2 linked regions of the Mytilus edulis genome follow. The protein of the gene in region 1 interacts with the protein of each later gene in a pairwise test. Links are inferred from orthologs where the notes say so. Each region holds a gene or a part of one and is shown in the gene's direction. Other genes may lie near its edges.

The links.
Region 2: the proteins of thyroid hormone receptor beta-like (region 1) and proto-oncogene tyrosine-protein kinase Src-like interact in a two-hybrid assay, tested with the Homo sapiens proteins (2 studies listed by BioGRID). The link is inferred for Mytilus edulis from reciprocal best matches to the Homo sapiens genes VDR and SRC.

What each region holds. Positions count from the first base shown.
Region 1 is NC_092347.1:5,670,624-5,682,053, reverse strand, and holds the start of thyroid hormone receptor beta-like, read left to right. Parts: upstream 1-7,297; 5' UTR 7,298-7,566; coding exon 7,567-7,778; intron 7,779-11,430.
Region 2 is NC_092344.1:80,768,298-80,779,600, forward strand, and holds the start of proto-oncogene tyrosine-protein kinase Src-like, read left to right. Parts: upstream 1-7,187; 5' UTR 7,188-7,342; intron 7,343-11,303. UniProt on the Homo sapiens protein: Non-receptor protein tyrosine kinase which is activated following engagement of many different classes of cellular receptors including immune response receptors, integrins and other adhesion receptors, receptor protein tyrosine kinases, G protein-coupled receptors as well as cytokine receptors.

The sequences.
Region 1 (11,430 bases):
GTGTTTGCACCAAGTCACCTTTCACCATTCTGCATTAAATCATTTCTATCATATACTTGGCAAGATTTGCAAGCAATTTTGATAGAATGTAAATTAAGTGGAATAGATAATAAAAAAAGAAAGATTTAAATTGTGCCAATAAAATGTTTTTAATCATAAAATGCAGTTAATTTCATTGCCGTGCTATATGATTTAATGTTTGCACTAGATGACATTTAACCACAACCTCTATCCACATGCTGTGTGTTTTTTAAAATAGAATATTTTGGGGTTGATACCAAGGCCATTTGATATTTAACAATGAGGAATGGTTCTGGATATAATTATTTTGGGTGATTTAGTTATAATACTATAATGAAGTACAATTTGTCCGCTTTCATGTCATCAAAACACAAAAGGGTTATCATCAAGACTGATTGTTAGGTCTATTATATGTAAATACGCCATTATTTATCCCTACAAGGTGAAGAACAGAGAAAATACAGGTAAAAAGAGGAATGACCGAAATTCATATCAGTTGAACATATCCTTTCATTTCCATTATGAAGACACTTGATTTAATGTACAAGTTTAGCAATTATGTTTGTGAGGAAATACAATATAAGAGCTGTAAGGTCTACTAACAAAATTTATGAGATGTCTTGGTAATGTATCAGAAGAAAAAAGGATATTTTTTTTTTTTGCCTAGTCATAATTTATCAAAGTGGGATCATATTAGCAAATCCTGGCTACTTTGTAAGTGTTGAATGCACATTCCTAATTGACCTATATTAGTGATTGCTTTTAGAATACCACAATGAGCAAGGGAACATTACAACAAAGAGCAAGACCCTTGGCTCTGGGAATATAAACCTTTAGCTGGGAATGTCACTTGCCCTATCTGAGAACTGAATAAAATTAGATGTGGTATGATACTATCCACCTGAGACCATTTACATGGAATTTAAATATTTATAAATCACTGTACCGCTTTCAACAGAAAGCAAAACTTGTACTGAATAGTCAGTTTTAAACCCTGACACGACAAAATGTTCAACATATATATGTGATGCATTTGTTCTCTTTGGCCATGTAAGGTTTTTGCCCTAAAACCTCAAAAAATTAACTTAGTATTTATATACTGTTTTCACATTATCAAATATTTCTCAAAGTTTGGGTCATGACAAAAATTAAGAGAACTCTTTTGCAAAAGGCAGGTCAAGTTTTATGTGAATCTAGATAATAAGATAACTTCATCAGGCCCGTAAAAAGAGTGCAAAGTTAACAAAATAGTAGTCATGGGATGTTTTAGGGAGAGATTATCCTATTTAGAAATCATTTATATTAACAAAATTGAATTGCACTTTTCCGTATCTAATTTAACTAACTACCAGAATAAGATTGAATTACTAGAAACATGGCAATAATAGCCAACATCATTACCCTCGGTAGATAATCTCAACTATACAACATTACTAGGGTTGTTACGGATCATTCAAACATTAAGTACGAGGTTAGATATTCACAGAGTACAAGTTCACTTTACATAGAAGTGGGTTGCCATTCACCTGCTGTATAAAACTTAAGATATTCACAGATTTGAGGTTCTTTTTACATAAATGTGTGTTGGCATTTGCCCACTGAATGAAACTTGCATGATACTGAATATAAAATAAGGTGATGTGGTATGATTTCCAATGAGACAACTTTACATCAAAGGGCTAAGATGTGAACAACTGCAGATAACTGTACAGCCTTCAACATGAGAAAATATCCTTATTTTACTTGCTTATTTCTCATGGCCAGCGAATGGCTGGAGTTTTGATGAAGTGTTTAGAACTAATTGTGCATGAGGTTCATTAAAATTAAGATTATCATCAGTAGAATAGTATATATTCTATTAGGAATACATGGAGGTGCAGGGGCGGTGTCTTCGAGACATTATTGAGTTTTTGCAAAGCACAAGTTTACCAAGAGATTTTCAAAAGCTTTAGTCAAGTATTTTAACTTTTTGACACACCATAAGGATGAATTACTATTTAACCAATTTTAAGTACAAAGCATTTATATTGTGTCTAAAACATTTGATTAAACTAAATATAAATGATACAAACATGAATGTTCAGACACAACAATAATTGGGTGGTGTGCAATTCAACATATCCACATGTCTGATGCTTGATGCGGCTGATGCACATACATGAACAATGAAAAACTAAACACAGAAAGTAACAATTACAGTATGTTACCTGTTCATAATTGAAAGAATGCTCACAACTAAACACAGAAATTCATCAACTAACAAATGACGGTATACATGTTCAGAATTGAAAGAATGCACACATTACTGAAAGCAAGAAATTAGAAAAACAACAAATTATATATGTTCATAATTGACAAATGCACAACTAAACACATCAAAAACAACCAAGAAATCTCCACCTGAGAGACCAAATGATTTATTTCATTATAATACCTTCAACAGTGAGCACAATCGACTATAAAAGGCCTAAAAATGACAAATGTATTATAAAATGTTCAAAACAAGAAACAAAAAACAAATATGGTATACATGTACAACCAACAAACAACAACCACAGAATGTGGCAGGGGTTAAACAATTATATTATGTTCAAAATTGAATGAACACAACTCAACACAACAACAGAATTGACAGATCATGCACACACAACTCTGCACAATTTTTTTTTCTGTGTGAATATGATTTTATAAACAGAATTTATAGTAATAAATTAATTAGTGAAGAAAGATGATGGATGTTGAAACACCTTAGTCTACTTTAAAGTTGATGCTGTTATTAAGAATTCTCAAATTAACAGGTTTTTGCCTAACAAGATTACCCTTTTTAATTACATTTAATGACACTATACTATTACACCATTGAGGTCTCCACATCTGTTGCCATAGTAACAGATGATAATGGAGACACAAAGACAAACTGAAAATCCTTCCATTACAAACTATTTTGTACTTCTCCAGGGAAAGTCTTTTTATGGGTAGGACATTTATTAGTAGTTTTAATGAAGGTTAATTTTGTTATTTTGTAAAATGCACATTAGCATCTGTTGCAGTGCAATCTGTTCCTCTTACAACAATAAGATGGTTTATACGATAAATTTAATATTTATTTTCTTTTGTCAAGCTTTAATAGAATTCCAACTATTTGTAAAGTTAAAAGAAATATTTTGCTAGCTTTCTGCACATTAAATATTGTGCAGCGTTGATTGTGGTTCTGTAGACTTTGTTGCGCTTTAAAATGACACCCACTGTGTAATTTGACATTCTATGGATATATTTGGAATAACTGGAATTAAGCAAATACTTATTTAATGCTCCTTCATTAGTGCACAAGCTGTTTTCAATCAGAATGGTGCAGGAACAATTTGCATGCAATTATGTTGAATTGAGGCAAAATGAATGTACATTATTAACAAAGCTTAAGAGTACATTTATAATGTCAATTTCAATTGTCATTATCATTTTTTCATTGTTGATTGGCAGTTTTCATGTTGCAGACTTCCTGCACATGATTGCCATAAAAGTATCATCCTGTTTTGCATAAGGTGCACTTTTTAATTTGACTTTAGTGTAAATATGGTGAAAGTTCATCTGATCGTTATTTGACATCAGTAATTTCCAACATTTCAAAATGATGCATCATGGATAAAAATTAATGAATGCATCTGTTGAACATTTACCTCAACTTGCTGATAATGCTATTTTTAGCCATTATTTTCTTAAATGGCTCTTTTAATAATTATATAAAATATTTATGAAGAAATTGCTGTTGTCTTAAATACTGTACCTTGTGATTTAGCAGAAAATTTCACAAAGTTTTATGTCAAAACAAAATAAATTTCTGGTCTTTAATAATATGCTTTTACAATGAATTTGTGCTTGCATAAAATTTATTCATAATAGTGCTAATACTGGAAAAATATGCAAATGATATAACAACCAATCACAGATAGCCAGCTACTTTTTATCTTTTTGTCATGTTCTATATGTCCATATTACTTTATTTGGGACATTATAAGGTGTTGACTCCCTCTGAAAAAGTCACAGTAAGATGTGTGGGGCTAGATGTGCCAGCATATCACATAATAAATCTTGGATAGCATAATATAAAATGAAAATACCGCTTTTAGATGTTGTGTGTCTTAAACATTTACCTTCAACAGAAAGGCTCAATTCAAAAGCGTCAGGAATCAATAAATACTTCAATGCTTGGTAAGCTTTTTAACAAAAGGGAGTTTTACATAATGTTGAAGACCGTTTGTTGCTTTCTAGGTGTCTTTTGGTTATTATTTTTTTTTGGGGGGGGGGGGGGGGGGGGGGGTTGATCAGGTTGCTCAGTCTTTTTGACATTAATTAACACACATATTTTTTATTCATAACTTAATTTGAAAAATTAAGATTTGGTAATATATCTTGAGATTAACAGAATTTGAATTATGATGGCCAATGACTAAGAAGGTACAGTTCAATATGTAATGTCCTGCTGTAAGAGGACTCAATGATGGTAGATGAATACTACCACTATGTGATTAAGTGCATTCCTGAATTTTTAACATATTTGAAAATTAATCAGTATATATGTTATATTTCTGTATGACAAGATATTATCTCCAGCAACATATAAACAATTGAGTTTTTACAGGAATGTTGTTGGGGTGTTTACAAAATACACAATGCTTCCTGCATTGTCATAATGACAACCTACATAAAATATTTCATATTGTTTCCTTAAATAATTGTCGTAAGGATTTACTTGGATAATCACCATTGGTAACTTACTTCATGTATTGAACAGGGGTGACTGGAAGATTTTTCCTCAATCAATGTCACATGGGTTGACAAGCAATGCCAGACCGGCAGTCAGTGTACATGTAACAAGATAAACTCATCAGCTGTTTTCTTTAGGCTTTGGAAGTGCAATGCATGTGCAAATGTATCTTAAAAAAAACCAGTTAAATGGACAATGGCCATTACAGTAGCCCCTATATTTGTTTCACTTGCAAGGGCAAAATGTGAATTTCAACTCAGTTCAGACTTTAAATTTGGATATCTCAATGATGCTTTAAAAAGGTACTATATTTTTTATCTGATAAACAACTCAATTAAAGCTAAGTCTATCTATATCTCCCATGTGGAGAGTTGCATCATTGGCAATCATACTGTCATTTTCTTATTTTTATAAGCACAAAAAAATTTGACAAAATTTATCAAAATTGCAGTTTATAATAGACATTCATACTAGGTCACTAGGTCACCTTGTACAGAATTACTGCAAAAAGTTGTTAAAAAAACTTAGTCCTAAGACAAATGAAACTGTAAAGTTTTAGAAGAGATTGAAGGTTTTTTTTTAGAAAAATCTGGGTTTGATGTGGAATAAAAATCTAGGGAAAGTTGCCCTATCTCCTAAACTATAAACTGTACCACATAACCAGTTGTAGAATTTGGTTAATTCACTAACAGTTTCTTTTCAGTTTGGAGAAAAGGAAACATTTTTGGTGGTTTTCTTGTTAAAAAAAGTAAGAAGGAATTTAAAAATTTAATAAAAAATAAATAATGTTCAACAAATAAAATACTATAAAAAAATACCTCTTTTTTTTTTGGGGGGGGGGGGGGGGGTATGCAATCATAATATGTACATTATAAGCATACTCTGCTCCAAATAATATTGCAAATCACATATAAAAGTTTTTCCTTTCATAATATCTGCCTCTCAGGATGGCTGTCCAAATGTACTAGATATTCTATAAATATATGAAGTCAAGTGTTTTGCACGGAGATGGGCAAAGTCATGGTCGTTCTGTTTGTAATTCAAACATAGAATACACGGGAAACAAATAATTTTGTGATTTTTGTTCTCTTATTTTATGGAAGGAGAATACAGAATAAGATATTAAGACTTGGTAGCTATTTTACATAATACCTCTTTAAAATTGGTAAGATTTGATGCAATACAAATTTTTGGAAATTGATAAACTTTAAAACAGTCTGGAACTTGATTGACAGTCCTTTGCTTATAATCCAGTGGCAAATATTTCAAACACATTTTGAACAATAAAATTGTATTTATTTATATGACTTAAATTTATTGTGATACTGACTCATCTGCCATTTTTTGTGTGTATTAGAAACATCATCATAAGCTCAAATTTATGCTCTTTAAGATGGAGTATCAATAGTGTCTTGACTTATTTAATACAAAACTGCCCCTCCCCTATTTCTGCATTTAACTTCTATTTATGCTTGTAATTATGCAACTAAATTAAGAACAAAATGACCTTTGATTTTCCCTGAAAAAGTAAACACCCACAGTCCTATTGGTTAGTTTTAAAAGTTTTATGGTATAAATATACAAAATTGAAATATTTACCATTTGTGTTCTTTTGTTTATGCAGATGCAACAGTTGTACCAATGTATTATTTTTCATTCAATGTTTTTTTTTAATTTGAAAAGTGATTTATTGAGAAAAATTAAATAAGAAAAGAAAAAAAAAATGTTAAAAAGTTTAAGAAAACTCTATGAAACCAGAAAAATAAGAATAACAAAATATTTAAAAATAGATGAACCCTGCATAGGTTTTGAACAAAAAGTTGCTTTAAAGAAATATTTTATATAGGTTTACTCTTTTCAAGTTCATATTAGTTTTGTGTGATGGGAAGATTTTAATCATGAAGTTTCTCCGTCAGCTATAACTTTTAGTATTAATTTAAGAAATAATGTATATAGATTTTGCATTAAAGAAACAGTTTTAACTTTTTAAAATTAAATGCAATATCTTTATATAAAAGTAAAATCAATAATCTAATATTACTATTAATTGATAAATATCCCTTATTTATGAAATAAATAAAATATTTTTCTAAACCACAACATATTAAAAAAATGTTTGTTTATATTATTTATGTTTATTAATATCAGCTGGACTTGGTGACCTATGTGTGGTGTAAATATTTAAACAATGACCATTGGCATATTGCCATCGGGTAGAAAAAGATTATATACTTACCTTTATTCATCAGGTAACATGAATCGGATGTCTAAACAGCGCCTGTCTTTTTTTGTCATTGCAAATGCAAATTTTTTGAATTTTGATATCCTTCATCAATATAATCAAGAACCAATAACTGATTTGACAGATTAGAAAATTAAGATATCTCAATGTAAAAACCTACAGGTTTACTATGTCCTTAAATGTCCTGGGGGCGGAGTTTACATGTCATTTATAGCTTTTACATCATTTGATTGGTGAACGGGAGAGAAATGCACCAAACGACCCAGTCTACATGCTATGTTTACTAAAACAGTTATAGAGTACTGCATAAACCCCATTTATGAGTGAAGTGTGAACCTAAGTGAACTGTGTCCTAGTTAAATGTGTGTTTCTACACCACATTTATTTTTTACTCACACATTAACAATGACATCGGTGAAGATAATAGTGTTAAGAGAAAACTTTAATTAATTGTGAGAAGACATTGACTTTTTATCCAATGTGGAGGATTACAACTAGTTATTGTTAACAAAGGAAGTCGATCTATATATCTAACATTATGTTTACGGATTACAATGGGCATGGACACGGTCCTATTCATCATGGCCACCCTGGACACCATCCAGGCCACCATCACATGGCGGGGTACGGACCACCACCCCCTCCCCCTCCTCATCATCACCAGGCCCAGTACTCTCAGTATATGAGACCAAGGGTTGATCAGACAAGCGATGTTTTTACTTGTTTGTTCGGTGACTTGTTTGTAAAGTGGTAAGTGTCAGTATGATTGATCTTCACCTTCTTGTTAAATTTCTCTTTTAAATTTATGTAAATTTTAATTGTTTTTTGTGTTAAAATTCAGGATTAGTTTTTATAACTTTTTTGATGATCACGCATTTATGTAATAAATATGTTTCAATAGAGGATACAGTTAATTAAAGATATTGACATATCGTGTGGCATGAAACATATTGCTTATTGTAAATAATAAATGCAGTAATTTTCTAATTTAGTAATTTATTTAGTTTCCCAATATTTAATAATCTTGTTTTCATTCTATCAATTGATTACTAATATGAATATTTCATAACTGAATCATATGTTTTTGATATTTTTGTTATAATCGTCCTGCGCCATCTTTAAATCTTTTGTATAAATAAGGATTTACCTTTTAACAAATTTCAAATGTTAAACGTACTATAAATTTTAAAATTTCACATTTTGAAATTGAACAGAAATATTTATTATATTTGCAGATTTTATAGCTCAAAAGGTCATCTTGGGAAATGGAAAATTATTTGTAACTTATACTGCTTATCTCATTACAAATTTACCCTCACTATTCAGATTGTTGGTAAAGAATTTGAAATTTCAATAAAAAATTTAATATGCAGTTGTCTTAATAAAGATGTCTTTGTCCTGTATGTTAACATGTTTTATCAATATTGACATGAATAATCAAATTAAAACCTCGAGTCTGGAGCCACATGAACAATAAGGTGGAAACAGAGCTATTAAAGTTCACAGGAACCCCAAATAAAAAGTTAGGAACATTCAGAAATATGAACATTTACCATTGTTGTAAAAGTAAATAAATAAATGTAATTTCTAAACATTGTCCCAAATGAAATTCTGTAGCAAATCAAATTTTTAATTTGTCTGTAATTTGACGAAATTACTTAAAGGAGTGAGTTAAAAAATACAGAAAAGTCTCAGAGTAGATTAAGTATTATGAACAAAGTATAGAACATAGGATTGGTGTTTAGATTAACTTCCAATTAAACATATATAACGCCTTGTTTTCTCCAGTAATGGATTCACCTCAAAAGTACAAATCTATGAATTTCTCATTTTCTGGTGAAATCTGTTCTTCACATAAAATTTAAACCTATTAACCCACACAAACCCCTGACTGCTAATGGCACAATTAGTATTAGAATATAATAGCAATTTTTAGAAAAAATGTAGAAAAAAACACAATTGATTTTTTTTCCTGCTAAAAGTTGACCTTTTCAAATGCTGTTTTTATTTTAAATAGCATTAACATCATAATCAATATTGTATTCAAATGTAATGTTGCCATTTTTGGAATAAACTTTTGCACTTTTATTTTATAGCAGAATTAATAAGTTTGTTAGATAATGCAGTTGATTTTTTTCAAGACTAAAAGACAATCCCTTTGTATGTTTTATAATAGAGACAGATAGATTTAAATTGATATCATTTAGTGAAACAATGGAAGAAAAAGACATGATTAGAATTTCAATAGTATTCTTGACTTTATCTGCAGTCTATAGATGCATAATATGTATATGTTCTAGGTCTTCATTCAGTTATTGTTATTCCAGACTTATCCACTGAAAACCTACAGTTTATCAGACAGTTAACTTGATGGGCTGCTATCTCATCTTTATTCACCCTATGTCTCCTTTAATTCCTTACAGTAAATCAGCTTTTTATAGCTTGATAAGCAGTTTTGGTTTTGCTCATTGTTGAAGGTTGTACAGTGACCTTTAGTTGCTAACTTCCATGTTATTTGCTCTCTTGTGGGAAGTTGTCTCATTGACAATCATGACACTCCTTATTTTTGTGATCTTTTATTCCTCCCCTTCCAATGTTGGAACCACAGTCTTGTTCTGCTTAAATAACTTAGGCTTTTGTTTCAATAGGTGTTATCTTCTAGTTGGTTTGAAAAGGGTGAAGAAGAGGAATTAAAATATAAGCCACTTTCAACAAGTGCAACTTTTCAATGAACCCAATGCTAGAAACTTGGTGAACTTGGTAACATTTGTGAAATTGATATGCTTTAGTAACTTATTAATTGTGAAAACAAGTTTTTCAACAATTAAAATTACAAGCAGAGATAATTTTATGCAAAGAAGTTCAAATAAATGATAGCAAATGTCACAAGAAGTTGTACCATATGCAGTGAATAAGTTACATGTAGAAAATTTAACAATATTGCCAACAAAGGGCAGATAACTATGTTTTAGTAAAAAAAAATCGTTTTCACATCCTGTTTTAAACATAAAAAGAAAATTTGTCAGCCTGGAAAATGATGTTTAGCATTTTTATTATCAATGTTCAGTAGTGAATACATTTTACATACAAAGTCCATCGACCATGTAAATCCGACCGTGTATTGTTTTAGCCTAGAGGGACATGAGATGGCGACTTACTACACATTTTACACTCTTATATTTGACAAGTTTACCATGTACCTCACCTTATACACATTAACATATGACAATCTCTATTTATCATTGGAATAAATACACAAATATAAAAATAGCTGACCCCTACAAAAATCAATGCTCCCATAAATGAGAGCTGTTAAAAGACTATTCATATTTGAAACAAAAAAGTGTTAACATTGAAATAATAGATCAAAAATTTAAAAAAGAACATGTTTTATATATGAATATAGTTAAAAGTAAAATAGACCAGCCTACAGTAGCTTGCTTTCAATATAGTAAATAAAACATTTTTTTAAACTTAAAAAAAGTGTCTAATCAAGCAAAGTTATTAAGGATCGTCTTAATGATTGTACCTAACGGGAAAAGGATACTTGTATCAAAAAATAAGGAAAAGCTTTAATACACTTGATACAAGATTAGTATACCAGTTTTTAGTTGTTCTGAATATGAATAGAAAATATTGAGGGATGGTTTGAAGATCAAATGTTTTTGGTAAATCTTTATTTTTAGATATCTACAAGATACAGAGGTGTTTTATTGTATCATTTCAAGTTACAGTTTACTCGTCACAAAACGTGTGGCTAATTTTTTTTCCATGATTACTTGAGCAGAAAATGACTAAACTGTACCAACGTCAGCAGTCAAGTATTGAAAAACAGATGATGTCATTAAAAATATGTCAAGGGTATTTAATTTATCACCAATGAAATTAAATCATAAAATTTTTCATTTATAACATTGGTAATTTTATGGAAGAAGATTTCATTGAAATGTGAAATATAAAAATATTTTTAACAATAGAATTCTCATATTGATGTTTCTTGAATTGGCTATTTTAATACCACAACAACCATTAAAATCCATATATAAAATGATGTTTCTCACATTTAGAAGTATTCAATAAAAAATTAGAGCCAAAAGTCATAAAAATAGTCAATTCATAACATAAGTTAGTACTCTCTTATTACTGTACTGAATTATTATTTTCAATGAAGTTTTCTTACATGTGTTTTTCTCTTTCGCTATTGAAAAAGACATGATCTTTGGTCTATTTACATGAGTAGGCAGATACTGAGATAAGTGGGACTTTGCAGGTGCTGATTGTATGGAGGTGTTGTCCAAGAATTGGCTCGAAGTAAAAAGTGCTAATTTGAGGTGGTTAATACACAGCCAAATGTATAGTTATAAAAATGTATTTCAAGGGCTGATTTAGTTAACGTAGAATA
Region 2 (11,303 bases), on another chromosome or scaffold:
TTGACGTAAATTTTATATAGAGGTTCTGCAAAAGGAAATCACGAATTCACCAACATTCCAACTGACTTCATTTTCAGAAAACGACATCTGTAACAAACATAAACTTTTAGCTACTTCTTTACAAGCAGAACCAAACACAATGAAAGTCCCAACTATGTACTGGCTTCCGAAGCTGCACAAAAAACCTTACAAATATAGATTTATTTCATCTTCCAGCCATTGTTCAACTACTAAATTGTCTGTTTTACTTACTAGTACACTTGGTACAATAAAAAACCTGATAATAAATTGTTCAAATAAGGCCTTTGAAAATAGTGGAATTAATTACTTTTGGAGTGTCAAAAACTCGTTGGAAGTACTTGATAAATTGCATGCATATATTGGTGATTTTGAATCTGTCCAAAGTTTTGATTTTTCTACCCTATATACCACTTTGCCTCATATTCTTATTAAGAAAAAATTCACATCCCTAATTAACTGGGCATTTAAAAAGTCGGAATGCGAGTACATATGTTCAAACTCTTTTAGATCATTTTTTAGTAGCAATAAACAAAAGAACTATGTCAATTGGACATGCTTTGATACTATTTATGCACTTGAATTTTTACTTGATAACATTTTTGTTCGCTTTGGAGATTCCGTATATCGTCAAGTTATTGGAATTCCAATGGGGACTAACTGTGCACCACTTATTGCGGACCTGTTTTTGTATTGTTATGAGTTACAATTTATGACTAAAATTAGCAAAGACCCATCAAAACAACATTTGATACAAAAATTTAACAATACTTTTAGATATTTGGATGATATATTGGCTCTAAATAATGACGACTTCAGTATGTATACTAAAGAAATTTATCCTGTAGAACTTACTTTAAATAAAGCTAATGATAACAATGACCACTGCCCTTTCCTCGATCTTGATATCTATATCATAAACGGGAAGCTTAATACAAAAATTTATGATAAAAGAGATGATTTTTCATTTCCTATTGTTAATTATCCATTTTTAGATGGTGACGTTCCCTTGTCGCCATCTTATGGTGTTTATATATCTCAACTTGTACGATTCGCTCGTGTATGTAACAATGTATTAGATTTTAGCGAGAGAAATTTATGTATTACTGAAAAATTATTACACCAGGGTTTTCGATATCACAAACTGGTCAAAACATTTACTAAATTTTATCACCGGTATAAGGAAATAATTCGTAAATATAACTCAACATGCAGACATCTTATACGTTCAGGTATTTCACATCCAAAATTTTATGGAAATATTCTTTATAAAGCACAAAAATGTCAGTATTCTCCTCAGAAACTAACAAAACCTTTAAATAGACTTATTAAAAGGGGATATAGTTACGATACTGTTGGTTGTCAGGTCATTAAAGATTGCATATTTTGGCTTTAACATTGATTCACTGATAGGGTCTTTGCATCGGAACTAAACACATTTATTTCTTAAAAAAAACAGTTGTTGGCATGACACGGGTTATGTTCTTCTCATATATTTTATGATAGTATGATACTAAACCCCTAACGGGAGGGATTGTACCTGATATTCATATGATGAAGACATAATCTTTCAATCAGTTTAATTGAGGTCTGGAGCTGGCATGTCAGTTAACTGCTAGTAGTCTGTTGTTATTTATGTATTATTGTCATTTTATTTATTTTCTTTTGTTACATCTTTTGACATCAGACTCGGACTTCTCTTGAACTGAATTTTAATGTGCGTATTGTTATTCTTTTACTTTTCTACATTGGCTAGAGGTATAGGGGGAGGGTTGAGATCTCATAAACATGTTTAACCCCGCCGCAATTTTGCGCCTGTCCCAAGTCAGGAGCCTCTGGCCTTTGTTAGTCTTGTATGATTTTAAATTTTAGTTTCTTGTGTATAATTCGGAGTTTAGTATGACGTCCATTATCACTGTACTATTATGCATATTTTAGGGGCCAGCTGAAGGACACCTACGGGTGCGGGAATTCTCGCTACATTGAAGACCCATTGGTTGCCTTCGGCTGTTGTTTGCTCTATGGTCGGGTGGTTGTCGCTTTGACATATTCACCATTTCCTTTCTCAATTTTATTAAATTAATTCCTGTTATCTTTGGACATGACGGAAGTTGTTACCGAGGGGATTTCAAAGCTAGTGTCCTGCGTTTTTATGATAACTTGAATGATGAGATTTACAGGAATGGCACATTTTTGATAAGTCATTTCTTTTCAAAGTCAATTAAGAGTTTGGTAAGATTTAGTAGGTTACTGAACATTTATTCTAACTTTCATTTTTTATGAAGTTCAAACACACAACTAACAGGAAGCAGACGCATATAATACATTATAGTAGTATATATTTCTCTGCAGAGAATGACAAAAAAATAAATGCATCTATGTGAAGCGATTTATGTTGAAGAACTTAACTAGAGACATAGATACTAAAATGTGTTTCTGGCTTAACTGAACTTGAAAATTGCATCTGTTGTTTAGATGAATTTTAATCAGTAGCGTGTTTTTTTGACGACCCATCGTTCCATCGAAATAGATGTTTCAAATGTATTTCAATGATAGTAACTTTTGAAAATAAACTGCATGTACTTAAAAACATATATATTTTATACTTTATGTTTTAGTACTGCAAGTTCATGAATGTTGATAATTCCATGAATGTGTCTTCAAGTTCAATGGCATCTATGAAAGGGCACTGCATGGTTTCTCTACTCTTCCTCTGTGTGGAATGTGAAAATATTAAAAAATATTTACTACAGAAAATTAAAAACACAAGAAAAAGACCAACAATACATACAAAAATGAAAATGACAAAAATCATAATCGAATATACTCCAAACGGATTGAGATCAGTTCTCGTATGCACGCATTAACCGCCACATCTAATTCCAAAGAAAACATAGTAGAATGATCCATGTAAACTTGTCGCTCCTTTAAATAAACTTATTCTAAAAGGTTACCTATTCAACACTGTAATAAGATCATTAAATATTGTTTTTATTGGTATAAATATTGATTTTGTTATCAGTAAATTAAAAGCTAACTAAATATTACTAGTATGTTATATACATATACATATTCATGGAGCTACAATCTGTCGATACCTGTAACTTGGCATTGCACAAGGTCATGTTTTTCTCTGGCTGTTTATGACGTCTTTACACTAAATCCATTGGATGTTGGATGTGTACGGATTGATAGTTTAGTCTTAGATGACCCCTCTTAGATGCATGATTTTTTATTAGTTGTTAGTGGCTTTGAACTAGCTGTCAGATAACTGCGAGTACTCTCAGATCTGTTCATTGCGTCTTTTTGTGTCGGGATGTATAAGTACCCGGCCACGTCTACTTGTATGTTTGCCCATCTTATGGGTTAAGCCTTTTTCAACTGATTTTTATAGTTCGTTCTTATGTTGCACTGTCCCAGGTTAGGGGGAGGGTTGGGATCCCGCTAACATGTTTAACCCCGCCACTTTATTTATGTATGTGCCTGTCTCAAGTCAGGAGCCTGTAATTCAGTGGTTGTCGTTTGTTTATGTGTTACATATTTGTTTTTCGTTCATTTTTTTACATAAATAAGGCCGTTAGTTTTCTCGTTTGAATTGTTTTACATTGTCTTGTCGGGGCCTATTATAGCTGACTATGCGGTATGGGCTTTGCTCATTGTTGAAGGCCGTACGGTGACCATTAGTTGTTAATGTCTTGTGTCATTTTGGTCTCTTGTGGATAGTTGTCTCATTGACAATCATACCACATCTTCTTTTTTATAGTAGAAAGTGTAGAACCTAGGAAATACAACAAGCAGGTCGTAATGCCAGATTGCAACAATGACAGTTTTTCCGAATTTTTGTTGTACGTTCGTCTGTGTACCTTTGATATGACACTGACTGACCAGAATCAAAAGTTGATTGAGATCAAATTAATTTAAGTTGCAACATTGAAGTTCGTGTTACTGTCACTATAGTCAGGAACTTCATTGGTGATTGTATCCCTCGCTCAGTATTTCATGATGTCTCAATACATTTGTCACTTAGGATAATGGGGCTGGAGATCAGATGCTGATAATCGCTGTTATTGACAGCTTTGTTAAAAACGTAGTCATTTTCTGATCCGCCATTGTTATCATGACTAAAATACAATTGTACTGACACTAGTGTTCTTTCAATATTTTATGTGTGTATCTTTTATTTGATACTTTATTCGTACTTTTAACTTTTGGTAAAATTTCTCATACGTCTGAATGATGATTTTTGAAACTTGCAGAAAAATATAAGAATGGTATCATAAATAATGAATTTTAACAACTAAAATAACCTACAATTTGAAATTACATCAAAGAATGCACAGAAATCCTCCTGAGGGTACGTAATCTGTTTTAAAGTTTTGTTGTTTTAAATAGCTAGATATATCTGTCGACTCATTTTCCATGTTTCACCGTTGAAAGTTCAAACAATTATATTTGTACAGCTGTATTTTGTTTCGTTTCGTTTAAAAATAAGGAGATGTGGTATGATTGTTAAATGAGACAAATATTCACCAAGTTCAAATAAAGTGGTTGAAAGAAATAACAGGCAACCGTACGACATTCAACAGTGAGAAAAACCCATATACTGTACAGTAAGCTATAAAAGGCCTCGACATGAAAAATATGAAACAATTGAATTGAGGAAATTAACGGCCTAATTTATACCATGCAAAAACAACTTAAAAAATGATCAAATATGACAAGACAAGAACCAATGAAAACCACTGAATTACAGGCTCCTGACTTGGGACAGGCAGTGACGGTACATAATATATGTGGCGGACTTAAACATGTTTGCAATGCACGCTCAACCATCTCCCCAAACTTGGGACGGTGGTGTAACAGCACAACATGCGAAAAAAAACTATAAGTTGAAAAAGTCTTAACTCGTCGGTACAAAGCATTTAAAACATCAAACATAAACAGGGAGTATAGAAAGTCCCTGACATAAATAAAGACTGGAATGAGTAGGGTATATGTATCCATCCCTCGTCCCTACCGACAAAAAAAATACAGTTACTGCACTTGTTTCGATTGCGATGGCGAAGACTCTCGGAAACAGACAGGGGTCTAAAAGGTTACAAGGATGGGTTCCAACCATATGTCCACCACTCAAAGGCATTGATCGTCAAAAAAAGATAGGTTCCATCCCCACGGACCCCCACCCTCGATCCACCACTGAGAGAGATGTTTGTCATCAAGCACGGATCATCATTATCATGCGACAAGTTCATACGGTAATGAGTGTTTCAGCTCTAGATGTTCCTAATTATGCATAAAACGTATCATGGAAAAGATGACCAAAGAAGGACTGGCTTTTTACTATACAAATCTTTAATCAATCTATGCCATTTTAACCACAGGGACTCGGTTAGCAGATTTTTTTTTAATCTATGTTTTTTCAGAGACATATAACACTAAAGTATTATATGTCTCTGTTTTTGTCGAGCCTTCGACTTTAGTCGAAAAAGCGAGACATAGCGATCCTACATTTCGTCGGCGTCGGTGTCGTCGCGTCGGCGGCGTCCACAAATATTCACTCTGTGGTTGAAGTTTTTGAAATTTTAATTACTTTCTTAAACTGTACTGGATTTCTACCAAACTTGGACAGAAGCTTGTTTATGATCATAAGATAGTATCCAGAAGTAAATTTTATAAAAAATAAAATTCCATTTTTTCCGTATTTTAATTTTAAATGGACTTAGTTTTTTTGCCGGGAAACATAACATTCACTCTGTGGTTAAAGTTTTTAAAATTTTAATAACTTTCTTAAACTATCCTGGGTTTGTACCAAACTTGGACAGAAGCTTGTTTATGATCATAAGATAGTATTCAGAAGTAAATTTTGTAAAAATAAAATTCCGTTTTTTTCCGTATTTTACTTTTAAATGGACTTAGTTTTTTTGCTCGGAAACATTACATTCACTCTGTGGTTAAAGTTTTCAAAATTTTAATAACTTTCTTATACTATTTTTAATGTGTATCAAACTTGGACAGAAACGTGTTTATGATCTTAAAATAGTATCCAGAAGTAAATTTTGTAAAAAGAATAATCCTTTTTTCCGTATTTTACTTTTAAATGGATTTAGTTTTTTTGCAGGGAAACATTACATTCACTCGGTGGTTAAAGTTTTTAAAATGTTAATAACTTTCTTACACTATTTTTAATTTGTACCAAACTTAGACAGAAGCTTGTTTATGATCAACAGCTATTGTCTAGAAGGAAATTTTGTACCTGTGTATCTGTATTTTACTTATTTATAAATGAACTTAGTTTTTCTTCCAGTTAACATAACATATAGTCTGCAGTTAAAGTTTTTAAAAATATTTTTTATTGATTTTTTTCTCATTATTGTTGAGCATGTGATTTACAGCAAAAGTAAGCGAGACACTGGGTTCCGCGGAACCCTTACGAATTTTTTTCAATCTTTTTTTTCGTATTTCCTGTATTACATTATTAACGTTTTTAACGTTGACATCAATACTTGTTTGTTTTCTAGCCATGTGCAGTTTACTATCAATATCTGTAACGTGAGGGTACCCAAATTTCACCTATTATAACAGTTGACAAAAGTTTTCATTATGTGATTATTTTGTATCATTATTTACTATACAACAGAAAAATTGGTCTGAACTGACCTCCAAACCATTAATGATTCTGTAATGAGAGTATCCAAATTGCATCCATGCTTAAATTCGCATCGTCAAAAGTCAAATCATGAATAATAGAATAATACTGAAAAAACATAGATTAGAAAAAATATCTGCTAACCGAGTCCCTGTGCAAGTGACCGGTTACATAATATATCCATTCCTTAAATCTGTTATTTTGTTTAAAACAAGCTATTTTCTTGTAATTTTATTGCATTATAACGACTTTAAATAAAGCTTCACAGTGGCGGATCCAGAAATTTTCATAAGTGGCGGGGGCCCACTGTCGGACCTCAGATAAGAGCGGGCCCGCTCCAGTCACACTTCAATGATTCCCTATGATATAAGCAACCATTTTTTTCCCCAAAAAGTGGGGCCCGGGCCCCCTGTCCCCCCTAAATCCGCCTCTGCTTTATGGTTTTGTGTCTTCTGTCTATTCATATTTGAATTGTAGCGCGGAAAAAACTCGCACCTGCTAAAATTAAGAGTTATTTCCCCTTAGTAAAGATAAGTACCACAAACAATCGAAAAGATACAGATATATATAGTTTTACTTCCTAGTTAAAGTTTCACCCACTTTGGTAAAGTTCTTCCTGTTATTTTTCTGTTTATTAATGAAGAGGGTTTTATTTGGCGAACTTTAAAAAGACCTAAGGTAAGAAAGAGAGTACTTTCAATATGTTTTCACACTTGTCTCTGATGTCAGATCACGATATAAACATAAATGAACTTTCTTTTTATACACATCAGTGGTACATTACCTGTTGATTTCCCAGGTAGGGACTTCCCCAATACTTTGAAATGAATTGACATTGCGCAAATAAAATAGATTTTTATAGAGACCCTGAGAATATGCCACAGCCGTACTGGTGCATTCTGAGACTACTATAACACATTATAGTAGTCTCAGGTGCATTTGATATTTAAAGCCTGTAGAAACTTTGCACTAGTTTAAGTTAGCTGACTAGGCCTGAAAGAATTATTCATCAGCTTGAGCTTATGTACAAAAAAAAAAAACTTGTTGGCTAAGATATGAAAATTGACAGAGTGTTAGTGTAGTCTTATAAACACATACTAGAAATAACAACTCTGCCAGTCTCTGGCCTGACATTGTTCATGTTGTTCTCTTTAATAATCTAAAAAGCTTAAATCACACATTGTGACTTTATATTACTGTTCAATGTACAATTCAGAGCTTACACTTGTAATTGTGGTGCATATATATATATACTGACTTCAGATTTATGTCCTTGATATTAAACTATTCCTCATTAAAATTGTCTAAACATTAGATCAATTGAGATCATGTGATTCATGAATGGCTGGAAATTTGTAAACACATTTATTTAATTGCAACAGCAATCAGATATTGTTCAGGATGCTTTACCATTTATCCTGTTTTTAATCTGATTCTGATCCAAATTGTATCCTTTGCATGATAAAAAAAGTCTGAACTTGTCTGGATTGTGCACCCACTCTTCCGAATGTTGCTGACAGAGATCAGATAGTGACAGTCGGTGAGCTTAACAGAAAACTGTTACGATTTTTATCAGATACTGCAGAATCTATTACAATAGACCCCTTTCAAGATATGTACTTCACAGGAAAAGTTTGTTGATAAGCACAACTTGATGAGATCATTTATTAAATATAGGGGACTGCGCTGTGTCCATGCACTTTTAAAGTTTATCAAGTGTCCTTAAGCATCTTTGTTATCGTCATTATGGTGTGTAAGTGGTCATGCATGTACATGTAGCTTTGCTAAATATTTGTATATATATTTTAATATGGAGCACCATTCTGTTTAATCTTGTATAAGTGACCACACTAGTACTTGAAACCTTAAATGATTTTCTCATGCCCAACACAAACATAAATAGTACGAAAACTCCCATTGAAGATCTAGAACTGAATGCCATGTTAATGGTAACTAATGTGTCCCTAATTGTCTGCTGCTAACTCAAAACATTTTCTCAGTGTACTGTAGATACTCGGTCCGTGTAACACTTATCAATTCAAAGTTATAAAAAGTTTTGAAATTTTAGATTTTTGGAATTTTGATCAAAGTTTTAAAATATCAAAATTTCAAATTGTGTTAAAGTTTTGAAATTTTGAAATTTTAACCAAATTATTAAAATATCAAAACTCTAAATATCGTTTATAAATTTGATATTTTAGAAACTTGATCAAACTTTTAAAATACTAAACCTAACGTGCAATTTTGATTATTTCACTTTTTGAAAGTTTAATTTTTTAAATGTTTGCTTAAAATATCAAAAATATAAAGGGGCGACAAGAGGGGTACCTGTAATCACTGATGTAAGCACTATTCTTAGTTATAAATAAATAGCATGAAATATTTCAAATCATTCTTAATAACAAAATGAATAATGAAAAGAAGAAGTCGGTTTTTTTTTAATGAAATATATTAGACATCACATGGGATAACAGTATCCTGAAATTTTAAGGTTGTGCATCTATCAAAAAAAAATATAATTAAACCTATCTAAACCGGAATCAACTACGTTGATTTAAATCTCTTATATAAGGTTTAGCGTTTGAGATAAATAATTCAAAGCTATTTTGTGTTCCCAGTGCCCAACATTTAGAAGTAATTTTGACGTGTTAGTTTTCATAGTTAAAGATTGGTTGCTCAAAAATCTTTCAGCATGCATGTTTCAATCAAGAAGTAAGGGTTCTTAGGATAAAGTTGATGTGTTTAAGTTGATGTCTATGTTTAACGTTTCCTCCAGTGCAAAGACAATGGTATACAGTTGAGTGGGAATCGTGTCATGTCAGGTAGATCACACATCTACGAGTTGTTCTAGTGGTTAGCTACTGAAGAAGTAACGGTTATAATTGTGGTTTTTAAATGGCATGGCCAGAGGCAATACCCGGATAGAGTTTGGGACTGAAAAATGTCCAATTGATGTAGATGTGCTCAATTGTGTTCGATAAATGCGGGGACGCATTTCCTGGAGGCATGGGTGATGTGATGAACTTGGTTCACCTGTTTTATTTTACTAGTGTTCTTCTTTTTATTTCTTTTATCAAGCTGAAACTTTGTTATACGAACTCGTTATGTTTGAAAGTTTTGTTTTTGGTTTTGTTTGTTTACATTGCTATGGATATTTATAATATTTAGAATCAGTAACGGACCGGTCGTGGTTAGCATACCCGGAAATATTCAGATCGGAAGTCGTAAACATAAGGGCCGTCATTCAAACGTTTTAGCATTAAGGGTTAGGTTATTATAAACACTCATATGAATAAGACATATGGTATCGTCCAAATTAAATGGTATGGTCCAAAACCTTAGTATATAAGCTGATGTGCTGTCAATTTAACATGCACTCCAAAATTATTGTATCATGGGGAGTGTTATGCCGATTAACGTCCGAGGGCTGTATCCTAGGCTGTTGGGTGATACGACTTTCATTTCACTGCCTCACGGCTTTGGTCCTGATAACGCTTCCTGTCATCTTTCGAACTACGTCCGAGATCATCTACCAGTACTCCATCATCGAGGCTAGCGGGCTGCCAAGCTGACCAAACTGGCCCTGAAAGCAGCCGTTAGTGAAGAATAAACAACAAAATAGTAAACAAACCAAAAACAACTCACCAAAACCAAGATGGCGGCCTACATATTGCGACCTCCACTACTTGTTCCTGACCCACGGCATCAAAATATGTTAAAGCTCACCAAACGTCTTCGGGCACCGAGCCGACCGTGCGAGGGCTGTATAGCCAGTCAAGGTCGTTAAACACCACCATATATATATATATAACAAAGGGTACTTGTTGGATAATCCAAACGTCTAGAAGAAGTAAGAACTTCAAGGTAATAGTTTTCACTTTATAAAGATTATATAGATTCTGAATAAGAATCTATCTGCGTACCTGAATAAGGTTGCAGGGGGATATTATAAAAGGAACATACGCACCGGTTAATAGGTGCCTAGACGACTGTGCGGTTAAAGTGCACAAGTAAAGCATAAACCAGAGAGAGTACTGGTTAAGCAGTGCACAGGCAGACTAGGCCAGATAGTGCACAGGATAGTAGTGCACAGGATAGCAGTGCAAAGGTTGAATATAGCCAAGGTGTAATAGTGCATAGGTTTGCATTGGTTGTTGCTGGACACACAAGGTCTTTTAGAGACAGAAAAACGTCCCACACATTGTTATTGTGTGACAGAGACCATACTATAAGTTTAAAAGATAGAAAGCGAAGAAACGGTGCATCTTCCAATATCCAGGTGTAAACTCTGGTACGATACCCAGAAGTCACTTCACCGAGTACGTGACAGTACATGTAGTTGTTAACTGCAAAAGGAAATTTCCTTTTTCCATAAAATACGGGACGATTACATATTATCATAATGCTAGAGGATACTTGTTTTGATCATAAACAGTTTCTGTCCATATTCTGTTAAATTTCTCGAAGGTTTGACGAAGTTCTTGATATTTAAAAAAAAAAAAAAAAATAACCACATACAACTTTTTTGAATTTTAGGTCCTAAATGCTCTTCAACTTTGTACTTGTTTGGTTTATAACTAGTTTCATCTGAGCGTCACTGATGAATCTTATGTAAACGGAACGTGCGTCTGTCGTGTTG